5 linked regions of the Nothobranchius furzeri genome follow. The protein of the gene in region 1 purifies or fractionates together with the protein of each later gene. This does not show direct contact. Links are inferred from orthologs where the notes say so. Each region holds a gene or a part of one and is shown in the gene's direction. Other genes may lie near its edges. The genes, in order: smc3, cdca5, usp13, wapla and pds5b.

What was found.
Region 2: the proteins of smc3 (region 1) and cdca5 purify together in Homo sapiens (affinity purification with mass spectrometry; 7 studies listed by BioGRID and IntAct, counting the BioPlex papers as one, with this or other methods). This does not show direct contact. The link is inferred for Nothobranchius furzeri from reciprocal best matches to the Homo sapiens genes SMC3 and CDCA5.
Region 3: the proteins of smc3 (region 1) and usp13 purify together in Homo sapiens (affinity purification with mass spectrometry; 4 studies listed by BioGRID and IntAct, with this or other methods). This does not show direct contact. The link is inferred for Nothobranchius furzeri from reciprocal best matches to the Homo sapiens genes SMC3 and USP13.
Region 4: the proteins of smc3 (region 1) and wapla purify together in Homo sapiens (affinity purification with mass spectrometry; 7 studies listed by BioGRID and IntAct, with this or other methods). This does not show direct contact. The link is inferred for Nothobranchius furzeri from reciprocal best matches to the Homo sapiens genes SMC3 and WAPL.
Region 5: the proteins of smc3 (region 1) and pds5b purify together in Homo sapiens (co-immunoprecipitation; 7 studies listed by BioGRID and IntAct, with this or other methods). This does not show direct contact. The link is inferred for Nothobranchius furzeri from reciprocal best matches to the Homo sapiens genes SMC3 and PDS5B.

The regions. Positions count from the first base shown.
Region 1 is NC_091744.1:4,677,634-4,684,001, reverse strand, and holds part of smc3 (structural maintenance of chromosomes protein 3), read left to right. Parts: intron 1-607; coding exon 608-729; intron 730-1,033; coding exon 1,034-1,247; intron 1,248-1,451; coding exon 1,452-1,555; intron 1,556-2,977; coding exon 2,978-3,077; intron 3,078-3,886; coding exon 3,887-4,047; intron 4,048-6,368. UniProt on the Homo sapiens protein: Central component of cohesin, a complex required for chromosome cohesion during the cell cycle. The cohesin complex may form a large proteinaceous ring within which sister chromatids can be trapped.
Region 2 is NC_091759.1:26,795,569-26,801,345, reverse strand, and holds cdca5 (sororin), read left to right. Parts: upstream 1-2,477; coding exon 2,478-3,230; 3' UTR 3,231-3,672; downstream 3,673-5,777. UniProt on the Homo sapiens protein: Regulator of sister chromatid cohesion in mitosis stabilizing cohesin complex association with chromatin. May antagonize the action of WAPL which stimulates cohesin dissociation from chromatin.
Region 3 is NC_091748.1:59,218,609-59,224,976, reverse strand, and holds part of usp13 (ubiquitin carboxyl-terminal hydrolase 13), read left to right. Parts: intron 1-350; coding exon 351-476; intron 477-1,367; coding exon 1,368-1,521; intron 1,522-3,729; coding exon 3,730-3,904; intron 3,905-4,000; coding exon 4,001-4,089; intron 4,090-4,741; coding exon 4,742-4,864; intron 4,865-6,368. UniProt on the Homo sapiens protein: Deubiquitinase that mediates deubiquitination of target proteins such as BECN1, MITF, SKP2 and USP10 and is involved in various processes such as autophagy, endoplasmic reticulum-associated degradation (ERAD), cell cycle progression or DNA damage response.
Region 4 is NC_091752.1:29,593,637-29,600,004, forward strand, and holds the end of wapla (wings apart-like protein homolog), read left to right. Parts: coding exon 1-44; intron 45-248; coding exon 249-325; intron 326-718; coding exon 719-894; intron 895-1,023; coding exon 1,024-1,139; intron 1,140-1,218; coding exon 1,219-1,434; intron 1,435-1,803; coding exon 1,804-2,005; intron 2,006-2,347; coding exon 2,348-2,436; intron 2,437-2,555; coding exon 2,556-2,651; intron 2,652-5,712; coding exon 5,713-5,778; 3' UTR 5,779-5,974; downstream 5,975-6,368. UniProt on the Homo sapiens protein: Regulator of sister chromatid cohesion in mitosis which negatively regulates cohesin association with chromatin. Involved in both sister chromatid cohesion during interphase and sister-chromatid resolution during early stages of mitosis.
Region 5 is NC_091750.1:62,004,868-62,011,963, reverse strand, and holds the start of pds5b (sister chromatid cohesion protein PDS5 homolog B), read left to right. Parts: upstream 1-2,438; 5' UTR 2,439-2,546; intron 2,547-7,096. Other genes in the region: zar1l (protein ZAR1-like), read right to left, coding at 337-903. UniProt on the Homo sapiens protein: Regulator of sister chromatid cohesion in mitosis which may stabilize cohesin complex association with chromatin. May couple sister chromatid cohesion during mitosis to DNA replication.

The DNA.
Region 1 (6,368 bases):
GTATGAACTATGTTGGGTCACAGGCAGCCTGCTGGCTGGTGGTTGGATTAAGCCCACCTGGCCATGGCTGACCCAACACTCGCCAAAAGGCGCCAGGGCAAAAGGAAAGGCCGCTCTAGTTGTATGTTTGATCAACTTTGAAGTGGTTGATCCAGGAAAGGGGAAAAAATATATTTTTACTGGAGCAGGGTCGGTGTGGATGATATGGAAAATAATTATTTGTGTGTGTGCATGTGTGTGTGTGTGTGTGTGTGTGTGTGTGTGTGTGTGCGCGTGCACTTCTCCAAGCACAAATAATGCCCTTACTATAAAACATGCTCCTTTTTGCAGATAGGTGCACTTTCTTTCATGATTTTCTTGCAAAAACTAAATTAATCTAAATAAAATGTAGTTTTTCTTTGCTGGTCCATCAGTTATTTACCATCTATAAGCTCTCATTGACTCATTTCAAATGTTATTGGATGTGGAGGGAAGAGCAGTCTGCGGTGAGCGGGGCATTATGAGTGTATTCTAGTGATGCAGACAGCTTACACTTTACTAACTTGGCACATTACGCATCTTCTGTTTTGTTGGCCAAACATTTGCTAAAGCTCTCCTGTTCTTTCAGAAACGACTGCTGAAGGAGCGTCAGAAACTGCTGGAGAAAATTGAGGAGAAGCAAAAAGAGTTGCAGGAGACTGAACCCAAATTCAACATGGTGAAGGAAAAGGAGGAGCGCGGCATCTCCAGGTAGGGATGAGTCATTCTTATCTACACGGCACACTTGATGAGTCAGTCATCACACTGGAGCATCAGATTTGACTAATCTTCTGCAAAGTGTCCTGTTTTCATGTTTTAAATGCAAGTAATGCGATTTTTGTTTTAAGTGTTTTCACTTCAAAAGCTCAAACACAAGAATGTTCTTGTTTATTCATGTGTATAGTTCCATATCATACAGAATTAATTAGCTTAACTCTCAAGGATAAATATCCTGATTGGGAAGGATTGTTGCTGTCAAATGTCTATGAACAGCTTTGGATGTGGTTCTTCTCAGACTGGCTCAAGCTACACAAGAGAGGACCGACCTGTATGCTAAGCAGGGTCGTGGCAGTCAGTTCACCTCCAAGGAGGAGAGGGACAAGTGGATCAAGAAGGAGCTGAAGTCTCTGGACCAGGCCATCAATGACAAAAAAAGGCAGATCGCAGCCATCCACAAAGACCTGGAGGACACGGAGATGAACAAGGAGAAGAACCTTGAGCAGTACAATGTAAGACGACTCGACTGTTCCTGGATCATTTTGGTTCTAAAACACTAAACCAATCACCCTTTGTCCTACTTGTGCCTTTTAATCAGCTTCATGTAGCTTAAACAGACACCAAGATTGTTCATTTGTATTGATTCAAAATGCTAAAATATTCTCTAGTTTTTCTGGTTCAACTTTGTCTGACCCACTTTTTACTTGTGACTTCAGAAACTTGATCAAGATCTGAATGAGGTCAAAACCCGCGTCGAGGAGCTGGACAAAAAATATTACGAAGTGAAGAACAAAAAAGATGAACTCCAAAGCGAAAGAAAGTAAGTCACCTCATATTTACCTTAACGTCAGATTTTATAAATAACCGTCGTTGACTCGGTGTATGAGGCAGTTCCTGTCTACCTGAATTTCTCCTGTAAACCCGTGACTGAGAGTTTAAGAGCACATTTAAAGGGATATTCAACCCAAAAGTAAAATGTTGTCTGACATACTTAATACACAAGGGCATACATTTTTTCCTCAATTTACAAATAGGGTTGGGCATCGTTTGATTTTGAACGATTCCAATTCCAATTCCCCGTTTCGATTCCGGTTCCTATCGATTCCCGATTCCGATTCTTTCAAGACATTCCATGTTTTACATGAGCCAGCTAACCACAGGTCCTACTTGATGAAATAATCTTAACTTCAACATGAGTTTTAATTCTATGAACAATAACATCACCTTCATTTAGACAGAAACGTGTTTTGGAGGGAAGAAAAAGACTTGCAGCACAACCAGTGTGTTTGTTTCTGACCACAACCAAAGTCTGGAAGAAGCGTCTGGGATGAGAGGCTAAATGTCTCCAACGTGTCCAGGAACATCCAGCTGTTTTCCTACCTGCAGCAGCATTCAGTCAGAACAGAAAGTGAAACTTAAATGTAGCTGCTGTCAGTAACAATCTAACAGATTTTAAACATTAAAACGCAACAGAAATAGTTCAGAAAGGAAATAAATTTTTTTATTTATTATTATTATAATTATTTATTGTGGCAGAAGCTGGTGTGGTCCACCACAGAGAAGCTGCTCTAGCATGATGACTTATTCTACTGGTTATTGTTCAGCCTTCTGACGCTCACACACACACGCACACACACACACACACGAGTGTTGGTGAGCGGCTGCGTCTGACTGCTGACGCTCCGTGTGTGTTTTTATTTCTGCAGTGAGACAAACTCACCTCACACCGTCCAGAGTTTGTTCTTTAAAACTTCTATTAAATCCACCGTGTTGATGTATTTAACATGTTTCCTCTACGCTGCAGGAATTAAAGTTTACATTACGGAGTTAAAGTTCAGCAGATGCGTTTGTTTATATCTGGCCACTGGGTCGGGGGGGGGACTCGGTGCTGCACACAGACAGCTCGTGTGATCAGCTCTGCAAAGCGTTGATCACAATTTGCAGATCACGTTTATTTTTCACGGAGATCGGCCGCGGATTCCTCTTCCGTCTGCATTCTAGGAATAAACAAAAAACTTTGAACGATCCGGGAAAAATGAGCAGTTGGAACCTTGTGAGAATTTAGTCCTAAATTTAAAAATGAGAAACTTTTTTGTTAAAAGCATAATTTCCTTCTATCCTCTTTAAAAACCCATAAACATGACCCCCCAGGTTACAAGGAGTGAATATCAAGGCTCAACTCGGGCTTCTGCGCCTCTAGTGACATAAGCATAACAGGTTGCGACTGTCTGATTCTGTCCAGCTACCTGTGGCGTGAGGAGAACGCGGAGCAGCAGGCTTTGGCAGCCAAACGAGAGGACCTGGAAAAGAAGCAGCAGCTTCTTAGAGCGGCCACCGGCAAGGTCTGTGTCACTCTGCAGGACTGCGTGATTATCAACTTGCATAATGGAGCTACAGGATAACCAATACTTCCACCTGGGCAGCAGTGAGACATCTGCACTCCGAAAGCAAAGGAGCTTCCAGCTGATTGGACGCAATAACGAATGCATGGGACTTTACTTCATGCACAAATATCCCCTTTTTCATCGGGTGGAACTATCACATCAGGGTAGTTTTAGCATATAAAACTGAGTGTTTGAGTCCCAAGAGAAGAGCTTCGCTCTCCCTGCAAGCCCATCTGAATGCTGCAGACTCTTTGTGACTCACCCAGTTGTCAGAATAGGTAAATCAAATGGAATTCATCGGCCTCGCTACTTCCACCTTATGATAACTTGCTAAATTTACATATGACTCACTCCTTCCTGCCTCGTCAGGTCACTTCTTCTGGGCGCAGACATCAGTCATATATTGCCTTTGAATAACGTCTGCTGTGATGAAAACAGGCTGCTTGGACAAACGTGTGGTTGCTCTTCTCTTGTTGGTTCCATCTGATTCAGCCGATTTGCTGTTTGATGGACTCTATTTGCAGCTCATGGTTCATTTTAGTGCATCGTCGTATTGAGATTGACATTTCCTAATCTGATTTTGTTGTGATGTCACAATGGCTTCTTTTTAGATGTGCTTTGTGCTACTGGATGCTACTTTACTGTGGCTAACTTTAGCCGGATTCCTAGAAATGTGCTCTAATGGAATTAGGTTAATTGTTTTTATATTTTTCCCTTTAATATATATTTGGAATTTTTACCTTCTTTATTTCCCATCTCTAATGCAGGCTATTCTGAACGGTATTGACAGCATCAACAAAGTCCTGGAGCATTTTAGGCGGAAGGGGATTAACCAGCATGTCATCAACGGTTACCATGGCATCGTCATGAATAACTTTGAGTGTGAGCCTGCCTTTTACACGTGTGTGGAGGTGACCGCTGGAACTAGGTAAGAATCTGAACTTGGGAATGAATATCAACCCTGGAAATTAACAGTTATGCACATGAATATTTATTATGAATTTTTTCTTAATTGAGCGGCTAAAGGTTCATTAAATATTGTACCGCTTTATTTCTATAGCACATTAAAAAAAATAACAGCATGAGAGCTGACCAAAGTGTTGCACAGGTACATTCATTAAAAACAAACAGGACGGAGAAAACAATCCAAATAAAACCGTCAATAAAAGAGTCACTGGCCGAAGGCCAAGCCATTAAAGTAGGTCTTTAAACGAGGTGGAAACGCAGCCAGAGAGGGGGCCTGTCTAACTGTGATGGGTAGAGAATTCCAGAGCACATGAGCTGCAAACATAAATGCCCGTTCTCATTGTGACTTATAAGACATTTGGGGTTTGCAGAGTAGCAGGTCAGCACATCTCAAAGTGTGCACGGGTCACGTTAATGGTATCCGTCCATTCTTCCATTTTCATCCGCTTATCCGGAGTCCGGTCGCTGGGGCAGCAGCCTAAGTCGAGAGCCCCAGACTTCCCTCTCCCCAGCCACTTGGGCCAGACATAGTCCGTCCAACGTGTTAACGGAATATTTTTCATTTTTATCCGTATTTTTTTAAGGTGGTGACAGAAAACTCCAAGGGCCATGTGCTATTTTGACAGATCACAGTTCAGGTGAGACATGGGAAAAAATTCAGCAAGGCTACACAAGACTGAAAGCTCTGTGGCGTCACGCTCGCTAAAGCCTGGACCACACTGTGATTTTCGGCGGTCATGCAGGACTGCTCCTGGCGCGCTGTGAGAACTCTAGTGAGGCGGCACACTGAATGGCGTAAGATTTCAGTGAGACAAACTGCACGATGAGCTAACGTCACGAGCACCACCCCCAAAAAGTATGCGCCTCTAAAAACCGACAGCTAACCAAAACAGTAATGCTGAAAAAAGCGTTGCAGTTACACTTCTTTTATTAGACTCTGAACCAAACTCCAAAAAGGAGTGGTCCGCATGTTCCTGTCTGAATCTTCCATTGTTGCTAATGTTAACTCTACTTTCGTATTCTCGTCACTCGTTGTTCGTGTTTCTCCCTGGGTGTGTTTTCATTGGTCGATTGCAGACGGGAGTTTGAGATTTTCGCAGAGTCGGTCACACTGGACGGCCACAGACTTGCAAATCACTCTCCCGTTCGCCGTTTTTGTGTCAATTCTGTTCACGACGAGCGATTTGGCAAGGATGGCTGAAGACGCTGTGTGTTCCAGGCATTAAGCTGACATGAGACATTTTCAACTTGACGGACAGAGTTCATGATGGCAGTAATTAAATGAATCAGAAATCGTAGCATCATCACTGATCTGGACACGTCCAACTATCCGGGAGCCGAAGGTATGACGGGTGGACACCAAGTCCTGGAACGCGTCCGAGGTCACAGACCGGGGGAACTCCCAGTTTCACTTTCTGATGTTTAAACTTTGGCTGAAGTGGAATCTTTGTTTTGCTTGTTTGGACTGAATATTATTGAGATGAATAAAATGCTACTGAATATTTCACTTTCAATAATCTTCCAAATTCAGGTGACGTGTAAAATAATAGATTATGATAGAATTATTTTAATCAAAATGACGAGCAAGGAAAAGTCCTCTGCTCCACGGTAAGAAATGACGAGAGTAGTAACTTGTATCGTGTTACAAATGTTTTATAAAGCACAAATAGTTTCTGTTTAGAGCCTAGGATTCACGAGTAGGGCTGGACAATAATTCAATAACGATCAATAGACATGTGGTTCAAAAGAGAAAAATGGATCAATAAAAACTTCAATAAAAGTTTCCTTTTTTCAGAATAGCCTATTGGGTAGCTTAATACTAGAGTCATTACTTACAGCCAACCAATCAAATATATGTTTGACATTTTTCAACAATTATTGATATCGATCAGTATATATATATATATATATATATATACACCATTTTTTTTTATTTTTTAATTGCTTGTTTACTATATCGTCCAGCCCTATTCATGAGTGACTCAAACCTCTTTGGTTCTTTCTTTGTTTAAATCCCGTGGCTACATCCTGCTCACTGATCTCGTGTTTGATAGACACCTGTTACTTAAGCTAAGAGTGCAAGTTCAACACCATTGTGACAACTTTGCTCAAAAGAAAGATGGTAAATGGCCTATATTTGATACAGTACCTTCTAGAGTCCTGGAACCCCCCAAGGCACTTTACAACACAGACATTCACACATTCACACGCTGGTGGGGATGAGCCACGTTGTAGCCACAGCTGCCCTGGGGCGCTCTGACGGAGGCGAGGCTGCCGAGCACT
Region 2 (5,777 bases), on another chromosome or scaffold:
ATCTTCATCCGCATACGTCACGTGATCAAGAAGCAGAAAATCCTTGTGTCAGGAGATCGTTTTGGGCCGTTCCTGTAAAAAAAGTGAGGCGCGAAGCGGAAAAGCGTCTGCCGTCCACAATTCCACAACAGATTATGAAAGAACGCAGGGTTCCCCCAGCGCTTTAGAAGCCCGGCGGCCCGCCAGGCTAAGCGTCAGGCCCCGCCCCTACCGTGTCCGCTGACACGAACGGCGCAACACAACTAAAGCCCTCCATCAGCTGATACTGGTAAGAAACAGCAGCGGAACGTTGCTTTTTATCACACGGCGTTATAAATCCAGCGGGGCGAACTCTGCCAGTGTCGGCCAATGAGGAAGACGGGGACAGATGTGATGTGTTTACTATGGATGGACACTTCACCATGGAGGACGTGTGGTACTGTCCACTGTAGATGATTATTTACAATATTACTGCTCCAACGTTAGATGACGTGTTAACATTAGTTTCTTTAGTGCGAGCGTCACTGTTGAGTGATACCTTGTGTGAACCCGGTGTGAGAGCAGCGGCTGAACCGTGACACCACCACCAGCAGGATCCGGACTTCTTAAAGTGTAAAGTGAAACGACGTTTTAAACAGTTATGAAGCCAGCTAGGTGAGTTTCGGCAAAGTCTGCACCTTGTTTCCACCGGCTAACGGCCGCAGACGGAACTTCAGCTAACGTCTGTAAGCGGTTAACACGGAGCTTTAGTAAAGGCCACTCTCGCTGAGCCCCACCCAGGTGCGCCACTTCTTCTGTAACCAAACTGGGCTTGGACCAGTAGAAGGAACGCTAAATGTGGCAACAAACAACTACAATGAAACACAATTTCAGGCTCCACATTTCCCCTTGTTTAGTACTCGTGTCGCTCACTGTTCACGTGCTTTTGCAGACCAATATGGTCGACTCACGTGATTAGGTGGCGTTGGTGCAAAGGGTCAATAGAAAACAAGTAAATGTTACACCGTTGGTCGGCTAAAACAGGTCATCAACAACAAGTCCCAATCCAACAGGATTTACTGCTGAAAACATGTCACACAAAGTTTTCAGCTTCCTCCTACTAGCGCAGCGCTGGGCAACATGCCGTTTCTAAAACATGGACAGAAACCTGGTTCAACAGCCAGCGGTTTAGCCGACTCATCGCTGGAGTCAAGAAAAACCGGGATTTTCACCCCAGCGGTAAAAATCGTACTTTTACAGATTATTATAATTACAGTTGTTTAAAGCGGTGGTGCAGAATACCAACCCTGCTCCGGAGATAATCTGCAAGGTTCTTCCGTGTGAAGTTTGCTGCTGCTGTTGGACTGAGTTCATAACCTAAAACCAGGAAACAAGCATCAGTAATTGTTGGTGACAAACGGTGAAACTAAGGAAGAGCGCCACAACCACATCATACCATTTCTCATCTTGTACAGCTGAACGTTCTTCTGGATGTACTCCGCGAACTGCACCGTGTCTCCGGCCTCTCCGACACACAGCAGCAGGATCTTTTCACTCAGCTTGAACATTTTGTCATAATCTGAGACACCAAAGAACAAAACTCAGTGTGAAAGTCATCCTCTGAAAAAAGCCAGATGTCAGCACCAGTCGCCCCAAAAACAGAAACCAGGTCCGGATTCAGGCGAGTGATGAGAAAACATCACTTTGAAAAAGAACCAGGAGGTTGGACTGAAGCATCCCTTCAGATCAGATTCATTTACATCTAACTTTAAACAACGATCAGTAACACATGTGCACTGTTTTAGATCAGAACCAGTTTGATTTGGTTTCTGTTGAACACAACCGGACTTTCACTTTCACCGCCGGGGTCGCTCACCACGAGATTTAGCAGGCTAGAATAAAGCATATAAACATCCTAAAGCTCAGAACTAAACTCAGAAGCTAAGTTTGATTTCTAAAAGGCTCATCGTACCTCTCATTGGCCGGTAATGGCTTTATTGTCTTACTTTTTAATCTCCTTTGGCAAATAAAATGTGACAAATGGTCATTAATGCGTTAGAATGAAACAGCAAATCCTAAAATATAAAGACTTATACGCAGACACGCGTCTGACAAACAGAAACAGAATCAAATGAGAGAAGAGCTAATGCTAAGCTAGGTAGCTAACACACCGTGTTTCATCTGAATGATGCTGCTGGCGGCCACATTATCGGCTGCGACGAGAACGAAATCCGGTCCCTGTATACCGATTAAATATTCCATCGTCTCCAACCGAACCAACACGGAATAACGGTGAAAATCAGGTGAGACAGCAGTCAAGTATGAGCGTCAAGCGTCCGGATTACACAGCAAAAACTTTGCTCTTCCACTGGCGCGGCTTGTTAGAGTCACGATGATGTTGTCGTCATCACCGTGCGACTCGAGCGGGTAATTTCGAAAGTGGCGCCGTTGTTTGAGCAACCGGAGGAGATTCAATCGAAACCGAGTGAATAATTCGCTGTTAGTGGGCAGATTTCAGCATGGACGAAGGCTCGCCTCATGGGGCGATGGCGGGAGCTAACGGTCCTCTCGGGCCGCAGCGAAGACGCTCGCCGCGGTTCAGTTCTCCGCAAGCTCCGCTGGGAGGTGAGAAGATGGCGCTGGGAATTAAACGCTCCATCACCGTGCGGAAAATAGCGCCCAGAAAAACGAGCGCTTCGTCTAAACACAACAAGGAGAACACGCCGAGGCACTCCGAGCAGGTACAGCAGCTGAAGACCAAAGTCTCAACCCCCGATCCCGGCCCGGACCGCAGGGCCTCCTCCTCCGCCGCGAGGAAGAAGCAGCAGGCGCCCATGCCCTCACGGATCCTCCCGTCCTCCCCACCGGACTCCTGTCGGACCCAGCAGCCGGCTGCTGAACCAGAGGCCGGCGTGTGTGCGCAGAAAGCCCGCCGGTCCTATAGCAGGCTCAGCGACAGTTCCCTCCACAGTAGCCCCGACTCCAGAGAAACGTTATTCGGCTTCGAGAGGCTGAGGACCCCGGAGGTTGTCCGGAAGTCCAAGCAGACCAGGGACGCTCTGGAAGTTTCTGGACCCATCACGTCTTTCACTGAATCGACCGACGAGGGCTTTGCTGAACCGGACCCGAACATCCCCGGAGTGTCGGTGTCAAAGGAGCGGAGGAGGAGGCGGAAGGTGCCGCAGATTGACTCGGCCGAGCTGGACCATCTGGCCGCTCAGATGAACGCGGAGTTCCGGGAGGCCGAGGAGTTCGAGTTGGTGGTGGAGTAGAACCGAACCCACCAGAACCAGCGTATGGATCTTTGACTGGAGGGGTGGTGGGGGTGTAAATACGTCCGGGACTCTTGATGGATTGTATATGTAGCTCGTGAAGGTTTTTTTCTCTACACCATCATGGTTCGGTCCATTTGGACTTCCTGTGTCGGCTCTGTAGCTTGAGAGTTCTGGATAAATCAAAACGGACTTTGTTCTGGTTAAGCGGTTCTGATCAGATCCCAGACCGGTTCTGATGCAGTATTCTTTACTGAATAAACCAGAGAAACAACACGAGCCCAGTAGAACCGAACCAGAACCAGAACGTCTCTGCTGACAGAGTTGAACTGACTTCAGGTTAAAGCTGCTTTTCTGGCTTTGTGGAGTTTTTTGTTGGACTTTTCCAGGTTTTCCTGTCAGTTTTCCTTTCTGCTTCCTAATAAACCCACACTGAAGCAAGCACCCTGCCTGTTGACCTGTTCACACGTCACTTCAGATTAGAGTTAATCTGGGCTACAGTTAACCTGGGTTATAGTTAATCTGGGCTACAGTTAACCTGGGTTATAGTTAGTCTGGGCTACAGTTAACCTGGGTTATAGTTAGTCTGGGCTACAGTTAACCTGGGTTATAGTTAGTCTGGGCTACAGTTAACCTGGGTTATAGTTAATCTGGGCTACAGTTAGTCTGGGTTAGTGTTAAACACAAACAACAACATTGACCATGATCACACATTTACTGTGTTTAAAACCAAACTTCAGACCAGAACACACGATTGGTCACACACTCCATGACATCAGCACTTTACCTGACAGCATTAATTTAAATATAAACAACCCTGGTACTGATGAAAGGGTGAATGTAGATAACACATTTACTGTAATTCACATCATTGTGTCTCTCAGTGAACACCTGGTCCGTTCAGAGGACTTAATCCAGCGCTTTACTATGAATGAATGAATTTAGGTAGAAACCAACAGCTGACCTCGGTTAACAGAGGCTGAAGCTAAAGACAAGATTCAAACCCTAAAACACCGTGTGTGTGTGATATGGACAGCAATTACATCAGACAAACCAGATGCATGGTTTCAGTGTGTTAGCATGAATGCTAATTTGCAGCACTTGTCCACAGACACCTTTTGTAAAAGGTAGAACACATTTAAATAATCAAATCAAAGAAAAACAATTAAAATTACAAACATTTTCTAAAAATAAAAGGCTACTTAAAGAGCAAGTCACCCCCAAATCAACTTTTTTTGCTGATAAACTAAATAAACGAGTGTCTAATCGTGCTGCAGACACGTGTCGTCAATAATTTGGCACTTCAGTGCATCTTAGTTAAAATTTAAATATTCTACCTAAAACTGGCAGTGTTGTGCCATCGTCAGGTAAAAACTGCACTGCATTTGAATTTAAATCTGCCACCGCTATTGGCTAAGAGGTATGCTATGATGTAAACTGGTACATTATGATGTCACAATGCCATTGTGAGCCTGAGTGTGTGTGTATTTGTTGGCGGCTCCACCCTCTCGGTCTGCTAGGCAACAGCATGTGTTGCATTTTTCAAACATGAAGTGGGAGTGAAGTAAGTTTCTTGTGGGGGGGTGACTTGCTCTTTAAACAGCAGATTAAACGAGTTTAAAACTATTCATGTGGACATTGTTCTTTAGACTTTAGCCTTTTTTTGAGTCCTTTGTTAGAAACATACTCTCAGCGGGTAGGGAGTTTAGTTTTAGCTCAGCGGGTAGGGAGTTTAGTTTTAGCTCAGCGGGTAGGGAGTTTAGTTTTAGCTCAGCGGGTAGGGAGTTTAGTTTTAGCTCAGCGGGTAGGGAGTTTAGTGTTAGCTCAGCGGGTAGGGAGTTTAGTTTTAGCTCAGCGGGTAGGGAGTTTAGTTTTAGCTCAGCGGGTAGGGAGTTTAGTTTTAGCTCAGCGGGTAGGGAGTTTAGTTTTAGCTCAGCGGGTAGGGAGTTTAGTTTTAGCTCAGCGGGTAGGGAGTTTAGTTTTAGCTCAGCGGGTAGGGAGTTTAGTGTTAGCTCAGCGGGTAGGGAGTTTAGTGTTAGCTCAGCGGGTAGGGAGTTTAGTTTTAGCTCAGCGGGTAGGGAGTTTAGTTTTAGCTCAGCGGGTAGGTAGTTTAGTTTTAGCTCAGCGGGTAGGGAGTTTAGTTTTAGCTCAGCGGGTAGGGAGTTTAGTTTTAGCTCAGCGGGTAGGGAGTTTAGTTTTAGCTGAGCGGGTAGGGAGTTTAGTTTTAGCTCAGTGGGTAGGGAGTTTAGTTTTAGCTGAGCGGGTAGGGAGTTTAGTTTTAGCTGAGCGGGTAGGGAGTTTAGTTTTAGCTGAGCGGGTAGGGAGTTTAGTTTTAGCTCAGCGGGTAGGGAGTTTAGTGTTAGCTGAGCGGGTAGGGAGTTTAGTTTTAGCTCAGCGGGTAGGGAGTTTAGTTTTAGCTCAGCGGGTAGGGAGTTTAGTTTTAGCTCAGCGGGTAGGGAGTTTAGTTTTAGCTCAGCGGGTAGGGAGTTTAGTTTTAGCTCAGCGGGTAGGGAGTTTAGTTTTAGCTCAGCGGGTAGGGAGTTTAGT
Region 3 (6,368 bases), on another chromosome or scaffold:
TATTTACCAGTGGACCCATGTTTGGACACGTTTAGTGAGTTAGAAGTAAAAGTTTCAGAATTTGTAGAATGCTTTCTGGATGGATGACATGAAGGGAATTCTATCCTCACGTCCCTGAAGACTGCTCGGCAACTTTTCCAAAGCAAAATGAAGTAAAGGTTGTAATTTTGAGTAAGAAAAAATACAATTGTTGTTTTTAGACTCTTCATCAAACAAAACCCTCAGCCCTCACAACCCCGTGTTTTTGCTGCAATCTCTGACCACCTCTGATAACTTTAACCGATGCTCTGTGGTTTTGTCCCAAACTTCCTTCTGAAAACACAAATTGTCCTTTATTTTTAACCCTGCAGCACCTGCAAAGGGGCATCTCTCCTCGAATGCTGAAGGCCCTGGTTAGCAGGGGACACCCAGAGTTTTCCTCCAACAGGCAACAAGATGCCCACGAGTTCCTGCTGCACCTCATCAACCAGGTGGAGGTGAGTGAAGCTCAGACTCTTGACAACATCAAACAATTGTTCATACACAGATCACTTCTTATTTATTAGAGCTTTAGTATTGCTAATATTTTGACATTTTGCTATGTCTAATTCATTTGAAACTCCTTTAGAATTGTAGTTGTAATACTTGTGCACCAAACCCACCTGCCTAACTCATTGCAGTCGCGACAATATTGAGTCTATATCCCCGGCATGGTGTGTTCCTCAGAACTCCAACACGATGATGCAAGTTTTTAAAAGGTTCTGGCTTTAATTAAACACGAGGCGCTGCCTCCTGGATTGGTTTGTACACATGAAGTTCTTTGAAACGTCTCTCTCCAGCCTGGATGCATTTATAATGTTCACAGCTATCTGTTGCACAGAGCAGCGAGAAAAGTGCTTCCTGTTCTACCTCGACCGCGGCACACACACACCAAGTAGAAACCTAATACTTCCTATTTTTCATATTGTGCACAGTAACACACACCTGAGATATTCTCACAGCTCTAGATGATCTAAACTGTCCCATTATCTGCAGATACACATGCATTTTTAACAACTGTTGTCCTTTTATCGCCCCTAGCAGCTGTCTGCTGATTTAATAGATGACCCGACTAAAACCATCACCGCTGGTCGCCCCTCGAGCTGGGCCTGAGGGAAATTATAACTTGTGTATTTCTGTAGCTTCTCAGAATAGAAGAGCTGCGTTGCAGAAAGGCAGAGGCTGACCAGGTTTTCATACACCCTAAAGCCTCGGTGACCCCCTTCCCTATATATAAGACGTGAAGACACAGAGTGACTCATGACGACGATTAATGTGTCTGTTTTATATAAAGTGTAACTTTCTTGGTATTGAGAGGTGAATTTAACTTTGAAGTGTTATTTCTGCAGAGGAACAGTGCCGGCTCAGAAAACCCCAGCGATGTTTTTCGTTTCCTGGTGGAGGAGCGAGTCCAGTGTTGTCAGACTCGCCGGGTTCGTTACACCCAGAGGGTTGATTACTGCATCCAGCTGCCAGCTCCCATCGAGGCAGCCACCAATAGAGGTACAGGAGTCCAGACGCTGGAGGCTAAGCTGCTGGTGATGAAGCCAGATATGTTTTTCTCCTTTTAGGGCACGACCTAATGTCAGAGGTGGAAAGAGTACTAACATTTCCTATTTAAGTACGAGTTCCAATACTTTGATCATTTTTTTTTACTCCAACACAAGTAAAAGTACTTGCCTTAATTTTTACTTAACTAAAAGTAAAAAGTATCGTAAATAAAATGTACTCAAAGTAAAAGTTACTTAGTTACGATATTGTCAGCATAAGGATGGCTACATCCAAGTAGTGCAAAACGAGAGCTCACAACACGCACGCACGCACGCATACACACACACACACGGAGGGATTTCAACATGCACATTGATTGGTTGAGGTTTTTCCAGGATTGTACGTTTCAGTTGTGATTTAAATTATTCTTTATTCAGACTAAAAATGTGATTATTTCAGATGCCATCAGTATGTGAAGCATCTGAGTGTTTTCATGACAAACCTCTAACATGAGACTGTGCTCTAACCTGTCACATTATCTAACAAGCCAAATGAACATCAAACATTTCAAATGAACCTCAACGATGGCCCTGCCCTACTTTACTTCTACATTACAGTTCCTTTATCCGTGTCCATCCTAGTGCTCCGCTCTGACCTTCATGCTTATTTAGAGCAGCTGATTTTTAGAGTTCATCCTTGGTAGTGGGTTCACGCACTCAATTAACCGTTTACCACTGAAATCAGTTTGTTCATTCTAATCTTCCTCAATAATCCTCCAATCATCCAAATGGAATCCTTAAGCGTCCCGTAACATCCATCCTGTCAGAATAGGCCTTGGATGCCCAGGTGTTACTAGAACTAACTGTCTCCTCGCCACACAGCGCGAGTCTCCAAACTGTGAAGGTTGGTCTCCAAACATGAACTTAAAATATTTATTCATGCATGTATCTCTTCTTGTAGCACACTTTTTTAAAACATGATTTAAAAGGCTTGTATCACAATACGTTACACCTCCCAGACCAAACACAATATATAATAAATTATTATCGTAGACGCTATTGAGACATCATTATTTATGAAATAAGTTATTTTTGTGAGCCATTACTTCAACCATGAAATAAGATGCCTGGATTTGATGAAAGCATGCTGTCTCATGCAGTCCTGTATGTGTAACACACACACACACACACGCACGCACGCACGCACGCACGCACACACACACACACACGCACACACACACACACACACACACACACACACACGCACGCACACACACACACACACACACACACACACACACACACACACACACACACACACACACACACAGAGGGATGGAGCATAATGTTTACAACTGAATTAGCTCCAGCTCCAGATGTTTTAACTCACTGAGGCCTGCAGGTCTTCTGCATTATGAGCAAAGGGCAGGGATAGAATCCGCTTGTTATGAGCACCGAACGTTATTTTGCCACTGCCGTGCGGAGCAATTGAGAGGGCACATTTCAAACATGGAACCGAGTCCAGCTAACGAACCGAGCAGAATACTGATGATGTGACATCGGCGCACAAAGGTGTGGGTTTCAACCCACAGGAGAGGGAGGGAGAGAGGAGGTAAACAGCGACTACATCACAGGGGCTGGACTGATGTTTTTAAACAAAACTGAGGGAGAAGTGGCTGTTTAACGTCTTCATTATAAAAGGTGTACACCCACACACCCATGGTTGAGACATGGCGCTCATGCAGGTGTCTCTCATTCTGTTGCTAGCCTATAATTTTTTTACTCAGTAACAGATATGATTGGAAATGTAGCTGAATGCAATTGTTTTAAAAAAACATACTCAAGTAAAAGATAAAGTACAGATTTTAAAAACGACTTATAAAGTATATATATATATATATATATATATATATATATATATATATATATACATGTGTGTATGTATGTACCGGTATATGTGTGTGTGTGTGTGTGTGTTTATGTATTATATATATATATATATATATATATATATATATATACACACACACACACACACACACAAAAAGATACTCAATTACAGAAAGTGAGTAAATGTAATTCATTACTTTCCATTTCTGCCTAAATGTATAATATTATATAAGTTATATTTAATGTTGCCATATTTTATTCAACATTTTAGAAGGTTTACTTCTCACACGCATGTTCATCTTTACATATCTAATGAGTTTTGTTTTGCCAGAGGAGCTGCTGACTTACGAAGCCAAGCGGAAAGAAGCAGAGGAGAACATGAGGGCTCCTCCAGAACCTGTGCGAGCACGCATTCCTTTCACGGCGTGTCTGCAGGCCTTCACGGAGCCGGAAAACGTCCCCGACTTCTGGAGCTCAGCGCTGCAGGCCAAGTCAGCTGGAGTCAAGTAAGCATCAGCGATCGTTAGTTTCTACTCTCCCTACCTTTGTTGCGTTGATGAGCTTTATTTCTAATCGGCTCTTTCAAAATGATCTCTCCACAGAACCTCTCGATTTGCCTCGTTCCCAGAGTATCTGATTGTGCAGATCAAGAAGTTCACCTTTGGTGTTGACTGGGTTCCGAAGAAGCTGGGTAATTTTTTTGTTTGATACAAGAGTGATTTTAAGTGTCTGTAGCACTGATAACATCCAGCAGAGGGTGCCATCAAACTGCATCACTGGTGGCATAGGAACACTTTCTGCCCAAGAAAATGAGAAAAAGGATCCCCTGCTGTTTAGACACATCTGTCATCCCGTTCATGTCTGTCAACACCGGTGAAGGTTGATGCCGACATAATCCCACCCAAAGAAAGTTTCTGAAAGTTCCCTGCTTCCATAATTTCTAACATCTGGATGTAATGCGGGGAGCAAATTTCACACACACCAGTGTGTGTGACAACTAATGGGACTTTAACTTTACCAGTGAATCTCCAAAATTTAGAATGTGGTGCAAATATGAATTAATTTCAGTAATTCAACTTAAAATGTGAAACTAATGAGATAGACTCATCACATGCAAAGTATGAAATCCCCAAAATTTTAAATCCCAGACAATTAGAATATCGTGAAAAGGTTCAATATTCTAGACTCAAAGTGTCACACTCTAATCAGCAAATGAATCCAGAACACCTGCTAAGGGTTCCTGAGCCTTTAGATGGTCTCTCAGTCTAAGTTGAATTACTGGGATAAATGGACTTTTGCACCATATTAGTATTTTTTGAGCGTCTCCTGTATCTGTGGTGCAGACTTGGCCATCGACGTTCCAGACTTCCTGGATCTAAGTCGGCTCCGAGCCACAGGGCTGCAGTCGGGAGAGGAGGAGTTGCCTGACCTTTTGCCTCCCATCGTGTTGCCTGAGGACACCAGAGGTACGATGCTGACCTCCATCAGGAATAATTTAATATAGGAATGTGTGTGAGAGTGAGCATGTGTCAGATCATGCCCTGTAAGTGAAGGAGACCAGTGAAGAATCACATTAGCTGCTACGCAACATTTTAGTATGCTAGTATAGCCAAAAAGAAAACTGATTTAGAAATGTGCTGCTGGTATCAAATCTATCAAAATCAGAATATATATTGTTATATATATATATATTTTTTTTTAGTGTATCCATAGTGTCGTCTTGGTGTTTTTAAGTATCTAAATATGAAAATATATCTATCTGTGTTCATTTGCATTTTAAACTTTAGTTTTTTTTTCTGAATCCTATTTCGGGAATCTCCCATTAATGTCCAGCTGTGGCTCACAGCAGCACAACAGCTCATGCATGAACTCAGAAGAAAATATAAAATTGCACTTTTAATTACTTGAGGCATTTTAGTCCGCTCATCTTTAATGTCACAGTTCTGTTATCTTTGTTACAGGGCAGCGTTTTCCTTCAGCTCCTGTTCTTTGGTCGTACATACTCTTGATTTTTGTACCAATTATTCATGCTTTTATACTTTATTGTGCTTGGATTGATACAAGCAGATGGCCTGTGCGTCTTTTATAATTTCATTTCCTCAAACTCCATCTGTTGGAAACTTCCACTACACCAGCTTATCCATGTTGTCTTAATATTTTAACAGATGTGGAGCTCAAAGTGTTCTGAGGGAACATCTGAGAGCAGCATTTGCTGCTTCAGACATCAACAAACGAGAGATATTTAAAAAAAAGTGATTTAGGCAGCTGCAGTTATGTGTTAGAGATTCAAAGTACAAGAAGAGAAATTTGGACTTACTTTGTTTGAGTGGGTCTTAATATTTCAGGACAGAGTTGTAGCTGCTGACCTCTCAGACTCACTGAATTATCTTTTGGGTGTCTGGTTTAGAAATTGGAGCCTCTTTAGTTTTGTTTTGTTTTGCAGCTTTCCTGGAGGGCCACTGTAGAAGACAGTCCACGATCATACATTTAGTAAAAGTAGTTTGTATCAGGCTTCCTTTGAGTGGACAAGAAATCAGAGTAAAAAAAAAAACAGTTTTTCAATATTTTTGTTGATATTTCTTGTGTATTTTGTTTGTTACCAAAGACCCGCCATGCGTTAGCAGGGATGAATCATTGCTTACCAGTCTGTCAGAGGGCATCGGTGCTTCTCATTGGTTACATCGCCAACATACCTATATGTTCGATTATCAATCATCCGTCTGTTTATCTTCTATTTGCTCACACATTCTGGGCTGTTTGAAGAAAAAATGTTTTTTTTTCAGCTTTCTTTACTCCAGAGTTAAATCTGAAAAAAAAGTTAAACCAGCTTTATCTAACCTCATTAATTATTGAGTCATAATGTTTTTTTGATAATTTAGTTCAAACCTACAGCCGAGGCAGGACACGCATAATGGACTTGAGTGCTTTTGTTTGTTTTTGTTTTTAATGAATTTGTTGTTCCGTGTGTGT
Region 4 (6,368 bases), on another chromosome or scaffold:
CAGCTCTGTGGGGAGCTGAGAGGTGCCTGAGGGTGCTCGAGAGCGTAAGTAGAGTCCTTTAAAGTTGAGGTTTGTCGAGCTTCAAGGACAAGATTCTGCCCTTTAAGATGGCAGATTTGCCACCTGAAGACTGAACGGCCTTTTGAAATGCTTCCACTGATTTTCTGTATCTTGATTTATTTTCCTGAGCATTTCTCTGAGTGCAGCCCTTTACTGATGTGGATTATTTTTTATCTTTCTGCCAACAGGTGACCGTGCAGAACCCAGAGAACCAGAGCTACTTGATTGCATACAAAGACTCTCAACTTATCATCTCCTCTGCCAGGTAAACCCCAATTACAACGCTGTGTTTGGATGTTGTTGTAACCTTTAGACTCAAACCTGGTTTAATTTGAGGCATTTTTTGGATTTTGTTGCAAGTTTAGTGGAAAATTATGGATTCTAAATGCAATAAAACAGTTTTATTTTTTTTAAAGGTCATACATCATTTGATTTCTGCGTTCTGGTGATGTTACTGGAAGTTTCATTGCAGCTAAACTGACTTAAAAGTTAACTTTTTATCTACACACAGTAGCAGTTGGAGAAAATAATCCATGTAGTCTTTTTGGGTCTCCTTGACTTCTCTTTTTTTTTTCTCTCTCTCTCTCACACCGTTATCTTTTATGTTTTATTTTGCTTTTTTACGATCTCATAAAAACCTTTGGTTTCCTGTCACCAGAGCTTTGCGGTACTGTGAGGATATGATCCAGCGGTACAGCAGGGCGTTAAACAACAGCTCCGTGTCATCGGCGGCTGCAACGCTGCCACACTGTAGCTTCAGCAACGTGGGAAAGGCTGTGGAAGACTGTATGAGGGCTGTCATCGGGGTGCTGCTCAACCTCACCCACGACAACGGTGTCTTTTTAAAATTTAAAATCACAAACATTTATTCCATTTTTATTTTCTGCTTCTGGTTGTTGTCGGAATTTCTTTGCATTGTCGAGATTCAGGGTGAACCGTTGTGATCATATTTGTTGCCCACAGAGTGGGGAAGCACCAAAACAGGTGAGCAGGAGCAGCTAACAGCCACCGCTCTCAACTGCGTCCTTCGAGTCCCACGCTACATCCCCCAGGAGCAGCGCTTTGACGTGCGAGTATTGGTGAGGTTCACTTTAGAAAAACAATCCAGCATGAACACAATCTTCTACTAATCCACTACTTTACTGTTGTTTACATCAGGGTTTGGGGCTTCTGATTAACCTCGTGGAGTACAGCTCCAGAAACCGCCACTGTCTGGTGGAGATGGAGTACATCGTGGATGACGCTTGTTTGGAAGACAGCCTGATGCAATCTGCTGAGCTAACACAATCTGAGGAAGCGACACAGCCAGCCGAGGCCCAGGGAGATGGTGCTGACACGCCCAAGTCTTCTGGAGTTTTGGCTGCCCTGGTGAAGGTACAACATATTCCTTCTAGTTGTCCCTGAAGGAGGGGAGATTTCATGCTGTCAGGACTAAAGTGGCCGGTTGTGATCAGTGCCTGCACGGGTTAAATAAGCTGTTTTTTGTCAGGGAGGCTCTCCGTTTTAAACTCCTTCATACTATTAAAAAACAAAACAAGATTCAGTAAATTCACAAGGATGTAGTCATGTTCTTCTAGCTGCCTGAATACTGAGCAGGAAGGTCTGCTTGTTTTTGTTGAATTGATTTTTAAATGAATAATTTAAAGATTAAATTATGAAAATCACTTATGTTGAAATATGAAGCTCCAGCTGTGGTTCCTTTCCAGAGATCACAGCTGTTGTTGCCTTTTCCCTAAATCGTAGCTCTTCCTTGAGAGGGAACGTGCTGCCATCCTGGCCGAGGCGAAGACGGACGACCTCATCAGTGAGGCTCCCAAGCCGGCCCTGGACCAAAGTGGAGAGTGGCAGGAGACGTCCGGAGAGATCCAGTGGGTGGTGTCTGAGACCAACGACAGCCAACCTGAAAATAAAGAAGAGGAGGATGAAGAGTTGGACCTAAATAAAGGTGTGTGTGTGTGTGTGTGTGTGTGTGTGTGTGTGTGTGTGTGTGTGTGTGTGTGTGTGTGTGTGTGTGTGTGTGTGTGTGTGTGTGTGAGAGAGAGAGGCTGTTTTTTGTTAGTTTGTCACCAATGCACTTAAACATGGATTATTGTCTCTGCTACATTTTCTCTCTATTTAGAGATGAAGAGTAAATCACAGTAATTCGAATTGACGTCGACTAAACTACAGGATATTATCGAGTTGTTAAAAACCGTTATTAGGACGTTGACATTTGGCATCAGATTTTATTAGATTTTTAGATAATTGTAATAGAGAATGAATTATTTTCCCCTTGTGTTGTCTGTAGCTCTGCAGCACGCAGGCAAGCATATGGAGGACAGCATCGTGGCCTCCTACACCGCTCTGTTACTAGGCTGCATTTGTCAGGGCAGCCAGGTGAGTTACACACACACACACACACACACACACACACACACACACACACACACACACGCACTACAAAAAGATATTATCTTCTCTTTAACAATATTTGTTTTTGCCTTTTTCCTTCTCAGGACAACGTGACTACTGTGAGAGAGCACCTACCTAAAGGGGATTTCTCCATCATGACAGAAATGCTGAAGAAGTTTTTGAGTTTCATGAACCTCACTGTGAGTATGATCAGCAAGGTTGTACAATAAAGTTGTCCAGTGTTTGAATTATGTCTGCTTCTGAAAACAAAAATATTTTTGAAGCCATGCTCCTCTAGTTCCATAGTTTGTTTTTGTTCTTATTTACACAGAGTAGCAAAGATTACTGGTTTTTACTTTGTTGACAGTTTCAGCGCCACACAGTCGCCATCATCAGAGTTTAGTGACATTGTGCCCCACTGCCCGCAGATAAACAGCCGAGTTAATGCCACCAACCCCTGCAAAGCTCTGATGGTGGCGACTGAGTGATGCCGAAACTGTCAGCACAACACAATACAAACACAATAGTAAATGCACTATTGTGGATATCTCGGATACATATCAGGATACCACAGATCAGCGCTACGCCCTCTGTTGTCCTGTCGGGGAATTGCTTTGCAACACTCCCCAGGAGATGGAGAAGTCTCTGTGCATCTCCTCGTGGAGCTGACGCAGAAGCATAAACTAGGGTTTAGACCCGCTCACATGTATTTTAGACCCGACTTTTATGGTTACATGTTACGAAGCCGCCAATATTTATCAACTGGGCATCATTAAATTTTCAACAGCATTTCGATGGAAATTTCCACAGATAAATGGTAAAAACTACACATTGTAACTTTAATATCTTATTACCGTATTTTCATGACGCACCGTGTTATAGGGCGCAACTTCAGTTACTGGTGTCTTTTTGGTATTTAACACATACATAAGGCGCACCGGGTTACAGGGCGCGGGCATGGGCACGGTAAAACGTACCGGTAAAACATTTGTGCGGGCTCGGGACTCGGAACATATCAGTGCAAACCAGACATTGTGAAAATTATAAACAGCCAAAAGCATGCTTCACTTTACTGGTCTAGTCCTGCCTGGTTCAGACCTGGTTTAGAGCGCACGTGCACTTCCTCATTGCGTGCGCTGACGGCTCGTGCTCTTCTAATGGGCTCGACACACGGGAGGTAACTTCGCCTCCCCTCCATTCATTTTCAATGAGACATGCGCGACAAAGCGATAATCGCGGGTCTCTCTCCTACTAAAGCCGGGCGTACACCAGGAGTGCTGCAGGAGGACACACAGGGATTTATGGGGGTTGGATGAGGAAAACGAAATAAAAAAAGTAAATCTGTGTTTTGTGATCAGTTTAATTTGACATGAACATGACAAACACGCTTTCTTGACAATCTTTGTGAGAAAAAAAACGTGTAGACATAAAAGCGAACAGCGTGTGTTATTAGGGAAATAGCGGGCGAACGGTGTTGATGCAGGATTGCGCATGCGCCGTGAGCGGTTCTGGTACTTTTGGGTCGCAGCCGCTCGCAGCGCCGCTTCAAGCGCTGATGCGCTGTGTTGAAGTTCAGAATGTGTTTACCGGTAGTTGGTGGATTTACCACATAAACTTTCCACATGAACAAAATCAAAGGTGTGTTATTAATAGGCCTAAGAAAATAGTGTGATTTGAATTGTGTTTTATTAACCCTCTGGGGTCCACATCTTTTGAACAGGTCTGATTTGGGACGCTGTAGCAGCAAGACTCCGCCCCCTTAGTTTCGGTTTCAATTCAGCTTTAAAAAGGAGATAATAACTACACCCCAGTTTTTAAATGTTGTTAATAGGCAACGTAAAAGCGGAGTTGTGGGCTCGACACACGGGAGGCGATCCGCGGCAGCGCGCATGTCTCACTGAAAATGAATGGAGGAGAAGCGATGTCGCCTTCCGTGTGTCGAGCCCATTATACTAAACTAAAAAACGACCTATTTTTAGACAATCTGATAACTTGTCAAAACAGTAGTTTAGTAATCCATGAGAGGGAATGTGCTTGTGAACATAAAAAACCCACAAAAACATGAGATCCTTTTGCTGTTGGTGGAAGTCTCACATATTAAATTGATAAAAAGTATCATCATGTAGCTGAGAGAGAGAGGAAGGCTGCACGAGTAACGAGATGTGCGCAAAAAGGAGCCGCTTGGCGGGGAAAGGAGTGGGGCGACCCGAGTAACAACAAACATTTAGACAGATATTGATGGTAAACTTCATATTTTGGAGCGATCCGGACAGATACATTGTCTCTGCAGTTTAGTAGGCTTTTATTAGGCTTTAATAAAGGATGATGAGAAGGATAAATGTCCACCAGGCAGTTCAGATAGTACGGCTGTTTTTTGAACTGGAAGCAGAGGAAGTGGACGGACTCACAGCCGGAGTCTGAGGCAAACAGCGAGGATGTTGATGACGATGTGGCAAATCCACAGGTCTGTCTTCGCTCGCGTCCGCACGTTCACGCCACGCCCCTTGTCTTCTACTAAGTTCGCGTATCACAACAACACAATAGGCACACCGCACCATAGGGCGCGGCGTACATTTTGGAGAAAATTTAAGACTTTTAGGTGCGCCCTGTGGTCGTGAAAATACGGTAGCTTCTTTAGCCTCCCCAAACTGCTTCTTGTGGCTTTTATAGTTGAAGTGAAAGTCTCATTAGTCATCGTCACACGGATGAAATTACCACTCAACATTTGACCCGTCCTCATGGGGAGCGGTGCGCTGCAGATGTGGCTGGAACTATTTGGTGGTGTTACCCCCCAATCCAGCCCCTTAAAGCTGAGCATCATGCAGGGAGGCGTTGTCCCATTTTTATGTCTTTGGTATGACCCCACCGGGTTTTGAACCCCGATCTCCCATTCCCATGGCGGACACTTCACCACTAGGCCACTGAAAAGGTTTGAATGATTTTAATAGAAGTGTGATCAATAACTTTGTCATCCAATGGTTACAGTTTGTGTGTTCAAACTTTGTAATTCAGGAAAAATCGCTAATTGGAAGGATTAATGTTGAGCACTTTTGCAGTCATAGATGTGCTTTTAGCAGCAGCTTTAAATAGGATTCGCCCCGTCACGTCCGATGACTGGACCCTTCTGCGTCATAAAAATCGTCTTTGAACAGAAGCTTAAAATTCTTTACGGCCTGTTGCTGGAGATCCCAGCAGCACAGATGTACATATTATCTCTCACACTCTCCTCCCTGTGTTTCCCTCTTGTTCCTCCACATGCAGTGTGCAATGGGCACCACAGGACAGAAGTCCATCTCACGGGTCATTGAATACCTGGAGCACTGTTAACACACAGTGAACCACGGCGAACTCTGCACATTTAAAGGGATCCCAGCCTGCCCTGGTCGCCCCCGCCCCCACAAACAGCAGCAACAAGGGGCCATGGGAGTTGCACTTCCTCGTCTTCGCATGATCACACAAACCTGTGATCACTCACTGATACACACACACACACACACACACACACACACACGCACACACACACGCGCACACACACACGCACACACACGCTTCAGTCTCTTTCTGGAGCACAGCCTGAACCAAAGCCCTGCTAACTGACAGACGTGTACATTTCCTCACTTTTATTCAACCAACATTAAGTCTGAATCAGATTCACCCTCAGACAGGAATTGTGTGCAAAAGCTAGGCTAAATAATCCCGCAAGCTTCTCGGGAATCCAAGGAACGTCGAGTGTATTGGCCTCAAAGCAGCGAGGGAGAGAAAAGGGCCACAGAAGAGGAGACTCCTGCTCCCTGTCAGGTGGTGATTTCTGGCCGTGTAGTTGGAGTGTGAGGCTTTGAATCAGATTTTATGGATCATTACATTTTATTCTCTGCCTATCTACGTCCAAGCCAAGGGTGAAATAATTGATCAGCAGG
Region 5 (7,096 bases), on another chromosome or scaffold:
ACCAACTGGAGAGGTGGGGGACTTGAGCTCCTGATGGTCTGTCTAGATTTCTAGGCTAGGGTTATGCTCTTATTGTAAAGTGCCTAAATGCTTCAGTGTTTAATAGTTAACTCATCCACTTACAAACATAATACAACGGGGTTCAGGTAAAGCGTTAATGATTGAGGAAGGCCGGAGCAAATTCAGTAAGGAGTGCTAACAAAGTGAACCAAAGTTTCGACATTGAAGCTACTATCAGAGTTGATTATTGAAAGCGATTATAGCCCACTTGGCAATACAATGTTTTTATTTTTTACAGTGTATTCCTAACACGCCCTGTATCAGAGACCGACTCACCTGGAAGTTGGAGTCCTTGTTGGAGCGGTGGAAAGTGGTCTTCTGGTCCCTTTCAAAGTCCTCGCCACTGTGATCCGTTTCTGCTTCAGACTGGTCTTGCTCTGAAGCTTCAGCCTCTTCTTTTTCACAGTCGTCGCTGAGACTTTTCATGAAAGCCCTGCGGTCGAACACCGGCGAATAGATGGACACGGGTCTCCGGAAGCGCAGGTTGCTCACCGGCGGCGTGTGGGGCTTCGTCTTTTCCTCCGGTTTGACCTGACCAGGACTCTCGAGGTGCTCGTCGACCAGCAGCGTTTTGGGACCCAAGGAACACTGGACTATTTTATCCACTTTGGCGTTCACCTGCACGCCGCACTCTTTGGTGTTTTCCTTTCTGGCTGGGGGAGGAGGGTGTGCGCCGGGACTGACTTGGGACAGGATGGTCTTGCAGAGCTCCAGGTAGCTGAGGCCCGGAGGGATCATGAAGCGGCCCTCTCTCTTCCCCCAGCTGCTGCCCTGAGCCGGGGGAGCGCACACCGGGTTCCCATAGGCGTTATAGGGCGGAAACGTGTGCAGGAACCCCTCCATCCTAGAGCCAAGAAACCGATCCAAGCACCTCCTTTTAGAATTTATGCAGTTACCATCAAGCCACTTTAATTGGTTAATTGACACCCAGGTGTGCAGGTTCTAATTAAACACACAAAATACATAATTTAGTAATTATTTAACAATAATTTCAGATATATTTTTTTAAATTATATGTCTCTGATGTTCATTGGTAACCTTTAAACTTTTTGCAGCTTTTACAAAATCTGTGTAATTCTGACATAAGTAATTAAAAATTTTCAAAAGGATGTAGGTTCATACATTCATTTTCTGAACCCGCTTGCCCTTGTGGGGTCGCCGGGGGAGGGGGTGGGAATCTCCAGCGGGCAATCGGCAATCAGGCGGGGTACACCCTGGACAGAGAGCCAGTCCATCGCAGGGCAACACAGAGACACATAGGGCAAACAATCATGCACACACACACACACTCACACCTGGGGCAATTTAGACAGACCAATTAACCTAACAGTCATGTTTTTGGACTGTGGGAGGAAGCCGGAGTACCCGGAGAGAACCCACGCGTGCACATGGAGAACATTCAAACTCCATGCAGAAAGATCCCAGGCCGGGAAGCGAACCCAGGACATTCTCGCTGCAAGGCAACAGCTCTAACCACTGCGCAGCCTCGATTTAGGCTCAAATGTCTGTAAATCAGAAACGTTGTATTGGAGCGCCCCCTATAGTTCACACTGTCCATAAAACTATGAAAAAGACAAAACCATCTGTAAAACACCTTCCATTTGACACAATGAAAATATGTTGGAAAATGAATCTCTGTAGAATATTCTAAATTAATTTTTATTAAATTAAAATCAATAACAAAACATATGTTTATTATAATAGAAGTAGCCAATAAACTTATGAAAAGGAAAACAAATGTTACAGGATGCATAAAGGGTTATTTTTAAAATGTGATTTTAGAAAATAACCAGTAGCAACATATATATTGCACCAATGAAAACATGTGTTTGTTTTCCGAAGCTATATTTATTCAAAAGAATAATAATAAAAAACTTTGGTTCAACTAAATGATAAACAACCCGCACTTATAGCGCCTCTCACAGTAAGGACTTCAAAGCGCTTTACACTACAGTTCATCCATTCACACACTGGTGGGGATGAGCAACAATGTAGCCACAGCTGCCCTGGGGCGCACTGACAGAGGCGAGGCAAACTACTATGGTTTATTAGTGTATTTATACACAATCTTTTGTGCAATTTTAGGTTTTCGCTCATCTTTGCGCTCCTGAAAAATAAACAGATTGATGAAAAATATAATAAACTATTGAACATTTTAGGAAACTATGTATTCTTATTTAAATAATGTGCAGTTGCTTTTATTCAATAAAATATTTCATCATTTTTACACACCCAAACACTAAACAAGGTAAGGTTTGAGTTGTTTATAAAACCATTCATAAACAGTTTTATTTTACAAAAATCTGAATTCAAACATGATGTAAGCAGAACGACTTGCGTGGACTCGTCTATAGGTGGCGCTGCTCACTCACGGATGGGTTGTACCCATGGGCTCTGAATCTATGCATGTTGGCGCCATTTTGGAGCTAGGAGGGGAAAGAGAGCTGCAGAGGAGGACACGATTTATCACTATTCATCGGTAACAGGTAAGAAAAGGCACCAACAAGCACACCCGTTGTTTTAAACTGGCAGGATCTCCTATCGCTCCTGCGAATAAATCGGTATGTGTTGGGATTTTCCCGTAGAGACGTTTGGTTCCAAACGGTTAAAAAGGCGGAGCGCAGCCCGCCTCGGTCGCTTGTGTTCTCGGCTGCTTTGCTCGATCCACCGCGCTGCTCAACCTGGTTCTGCGGCGCAAAAACGCGGTTGACCAGTACAATATAAGCTCGTTGGTTAGGCTCGGTGACTCTAGTGGAATGAACAGGCAGTGACGAGACTTGTGGTGTGGCTCGGCTCGGGGTTGTAGGAACCATGTAACGGTTGTTATCCGGGCTGTTTTGTTCCATGCAACGTTGCCATCTGTCCGCCCTCTGTCACTGAGATTGCTGCTGCTAATGCTACCTTGAGCATGCTAACCCCGGCTAGCTGAGTTAGCCACCGTCAGTCAAGCATTATACTGACCGTACTTCTTTAAATGCTGCGGTGGTGAATCAGTATTCTCCATTCATTCATAATGTTCGCTTGTCTATTCGTAACCTGTCGCTCACAAATAACCTTAAATTAGGCTAAATCTCATGTTAGCATCATTTTTAGATATGACGATGCTGACGATGTAGTACGGTGCATTTTTGTCTTTTCTAGTTAAACTGGCGTCCTAAATGGTTGTTGGACAGCGTGATGTTTATCCTTTAGTAATCGTGAAAGCGATTCACTTTCTGCATGTTCGGTTTATCTCAATTTAAAGCTGGTTTTGCTCACGCTTACTTTTTAGTGATCTGACCCGATATGGATTGTTATTGAGTTGTGTGGTGATGCTTGGAGAAATCACCACGAAAAGATGACATTAGTAATCAAATTAGTGCATTATAATATACTAAAAGTCGCTTACAGCTTTGTGTGTTTTTGACTGCTAATCATCAACGTTATAGGTTTGTCAGTGATTCACGGGAGGGAAAACACTCTGTGGGTAATGGGATAATACGGCCATGACACATTATTTTGATTACATAAAAACCACCGTAAACTAGAGTGAGTATACAGATCTACTGCAAAGAGAATGTCATGTTTTTTTATGTGTAACTTACACCATTTGATTTGCTATTAGATGTTGTCAAATACCATATAACCACAGCTTCAAAAAATGTTTTGGAGGCAATTTTTTATTTAGAGCTGCCTATTTATCCTTACTTTACATTCTGAATGGGGAAAAAAGTGCAATTACTGCCACTATTTCCTATTTGTCTGTTGTGATCTGACTGTGTTGAATGCACAATTCTGTCAGTCCACTTATATGTAGATGAAGCACAGTAACAGTGCTTATGTGCTACTCTACAATTAAATAAAATGTAACTACAAGATGTGAGGAGTCATTTTGCTATAGCTGTTATTGGTCTTGCATGTTTTCCACGTGTCTCCATCTATTTTTAATAACAGTATATATATATATATGCGTGTGTGTATAGGTTTTTTTTAATTAAGCATTCAGTGATTCAGTAGAGTTGTAGGTTAATTCTATTTTATTTATGGCCACATGATCACATGTGTATAAACGTGGGACTGATGTTAACCTTTCCTCTCTGGCTCGTGGTTGTTTAGGACAGCCTTCACATGTTTAGATTGGGGGGTTGCACCTTCTTGAAAATAAACCTTGAAAATAATTTCAGCTTGGTTTGATTTCAAGAAAATACAATCTCTTTAACAGTGCTAGCTAGTTTTCTTTCGTGTTGAGAGTGCCCAAACAGAGGTCGTTAAGTTCACCCTTGCAGCCAGCTGGTGTCCACTCTTCCTTCTTGTTGTTGGCTCTTACCCACTCCCCAAAGATCATCCCTGGAGTTCGAACCGAAGGGCGGATCTGTCGTTGTTCAGATTAGGAACTGAGAATTTCTTTGGATCTTCAAAGTTGTGCTTGAAGCTGTGTTTAAAGGACCAGAATTGGCAGAGCAGAAGCAGTGGGATAGAAACCCTCCACAGGGAGGTAAATGTGTTTAACTGTGATAAACCAGTAATGAGCTCAAAGCAGCCCATGGACAAGCTGTAGTGTGGGGTAGAGCTAGCCCCCTTGTTATTATTTACTACTGCTTTTGTGGAATGTTGCCTGATGGATGGTAACACACACATGAGTTTGGGAAATAGCCTGCCATGATTGGCTGATCGCTCTCCTTGTGTCAGTGTCGTACAGCGATGGAGGGACGGCCTCAAATTTGGCAGCAGCTGTGGGGTGGAAAAGAAGGTCAGAACCAAACGATCTGGCAACCTGCCAATGTTGAGTGTGTTTGTTCTTTGTGTTTGTGTGTTTGCTGCAGCTTGAACGATGCTACAGAAAACTGTCATGATGCGTGAATACATTTATAATGCAGGCTTTAAATTTGACAACTCATTTCTTCTTAAGTAGATAAATAAACATTAAACAAAGTGAAAACACAGTCTGACCTGTACAGTGCCTAAATTCAGGTTTGTTTTCAGTGTTAAATCATTTGTAGTGGTCTTTGTACCAGACAAAAGGGAGAACAGTTAGCAAGAACAAAGGCTGAACAATTTATTGCAGCAACAATTATGTTGTCTTTTCAGAAAACAGTTTTTGATAGTTTGTGGTCATGTGATGGATTCTCGTGTGTGTGTGTGTGTGTGTGTGTGTTTATCACAGACTGGTGATTATTATTTTATATATGTACTACTGATATGATTGCTGGGGGTAAACTATTATTTTTAAAACTATTATTCTGACGATTATTTTATCGAATAGTCGACTATTCTAATGACTATTTAGACAATTAATCTAATGATTATTTTTCTATTGCACAGTTAATAAAAACCAAAAAATCTAATAAATTCCTCAAAAAACTGATAAATTGTTACTGTAAGAGAATAAACACTACAGGCCTTCCATTTTGTATAACACTGCTTTTATTGTGTTGGTTGGTTATGTTCTGGTGATGTGTAGAACTTGGGAGTGCAGGCTGCTGCCTGAGAGGTGGTTGGAGACAGAGTGTCTCTATGCTGCTTTGTTTTGGTCACTTATGTGCGTGAAGTGAGTGGTGTTACAACCCTTCCTGGGGAGTTTGGCTTGTGTGCAAAAATGAAGGGAAAATAACACGGGATTTAAAAGTTAAAATGATGATCAGGTTTATTTACAACTACAAAAAAAAATCTTTCCATCCACAGGTTGGGAGTAATAAAACTAATTCTGCCTGTGGGGAATTAAAACAAAAGTACAAATAAGTTGGGATGTCCCACTGGGCAAAGACTACAGGGTTCTAGACCAAAATAAGGATCTCCAAAGGTCCAAACTCTAAACTGGGCAGTTAAACCAAACTCAAGGTGATATTTTAAACTAAACCGAAACCCCACAACACTCTAAATGTAATAAAAGGAAGATCTATGCCACAAAAAGATTAACTCTAAACCAAAACGTAACAGCTTATCTAAATGCGAGAAGCTATTAGTGAAAATGCTAACAGTAGCTTTACCAACGTTAAGTTCAAGTTACCAAGTTTAAATAAACCAAAAATACCTACCAAACAGACCAGCACGGAGGAGAGACTGCTACCACAAAAACAGCTCTCCTAATGTCTGAAAGAAGCTCCTTTATGAAGGGAGGAACGCTCCCGGTGATTTTCTACATCTACGATAGAGACGAAGCAGCGCATCTGAACCCTGAAGTTGTTGTCCTTTGCCGGGAGATGAAGGCAGGCAAAACAGGAAAGGAATCTAGTATCGGACGGACATTGTTCCGGGTCTTCGGTATTTGGTGGAGATGTTAGTGAAGGCGGAGAAGATGGTGAACTAAAGGAAAAACAGACAGATTAAACCTCTATTTACAAACTCCTGGGGATGCAACAAGTGGGCGTGGTGCATCGACTACCGGATCTGACATCGACAAATTTTTAGAATCGAGCCGTCCATGTTATCGAGGCTTCGCTACAGCCCTAGATATGATACTGATTAGTGTTGTCAAAAAAATCAATACCCAGATACCGTAAATCCTCTAATACAGGCCCGGGCCTGTATTTGACTCAAGCTCATCAAGCTCCAGGCCTTTATTGGAAGGAGGACCAGAATTGGAGGCAGGCCTCAATTTCTATTTGAGCAAAATGAACTAATGGTTCGCTGAAGTTTTTGACAATTAAAAGTGCGCCCACATTTTCAAAGTTAAACACATTTCTTTTAACAGCGGTAGTTTCTGCTTCAGCCCTCTTCCCCACTCCCCCGCGCAGCGGCCGCAAACTCACTGATGCGCCTGCAGCCTCTCGGAGTTCCTGCTGCTCTAAACATTAAAATAATTATTTCATTTTCTGTTCCTCACTTCTGATTACCTTCAGTGGTGTCTGTTTGTTGCAACCACCAGGTACAAAAACTAACTTGTTTTTATTTGACTATTTTTCTGTCCTGCCTGTTTATTATCTTCCTGCATCTCCTCTCAGTCCTAAAGAAAAACTGCTACCTGGGTTCATACATATTCACCTTATGAGTTACCTTTGAACTGCAGTTCTAAAAGATCTACCGACCGCAAAAACAGCGGAGTGCTCGCCGGCCACAT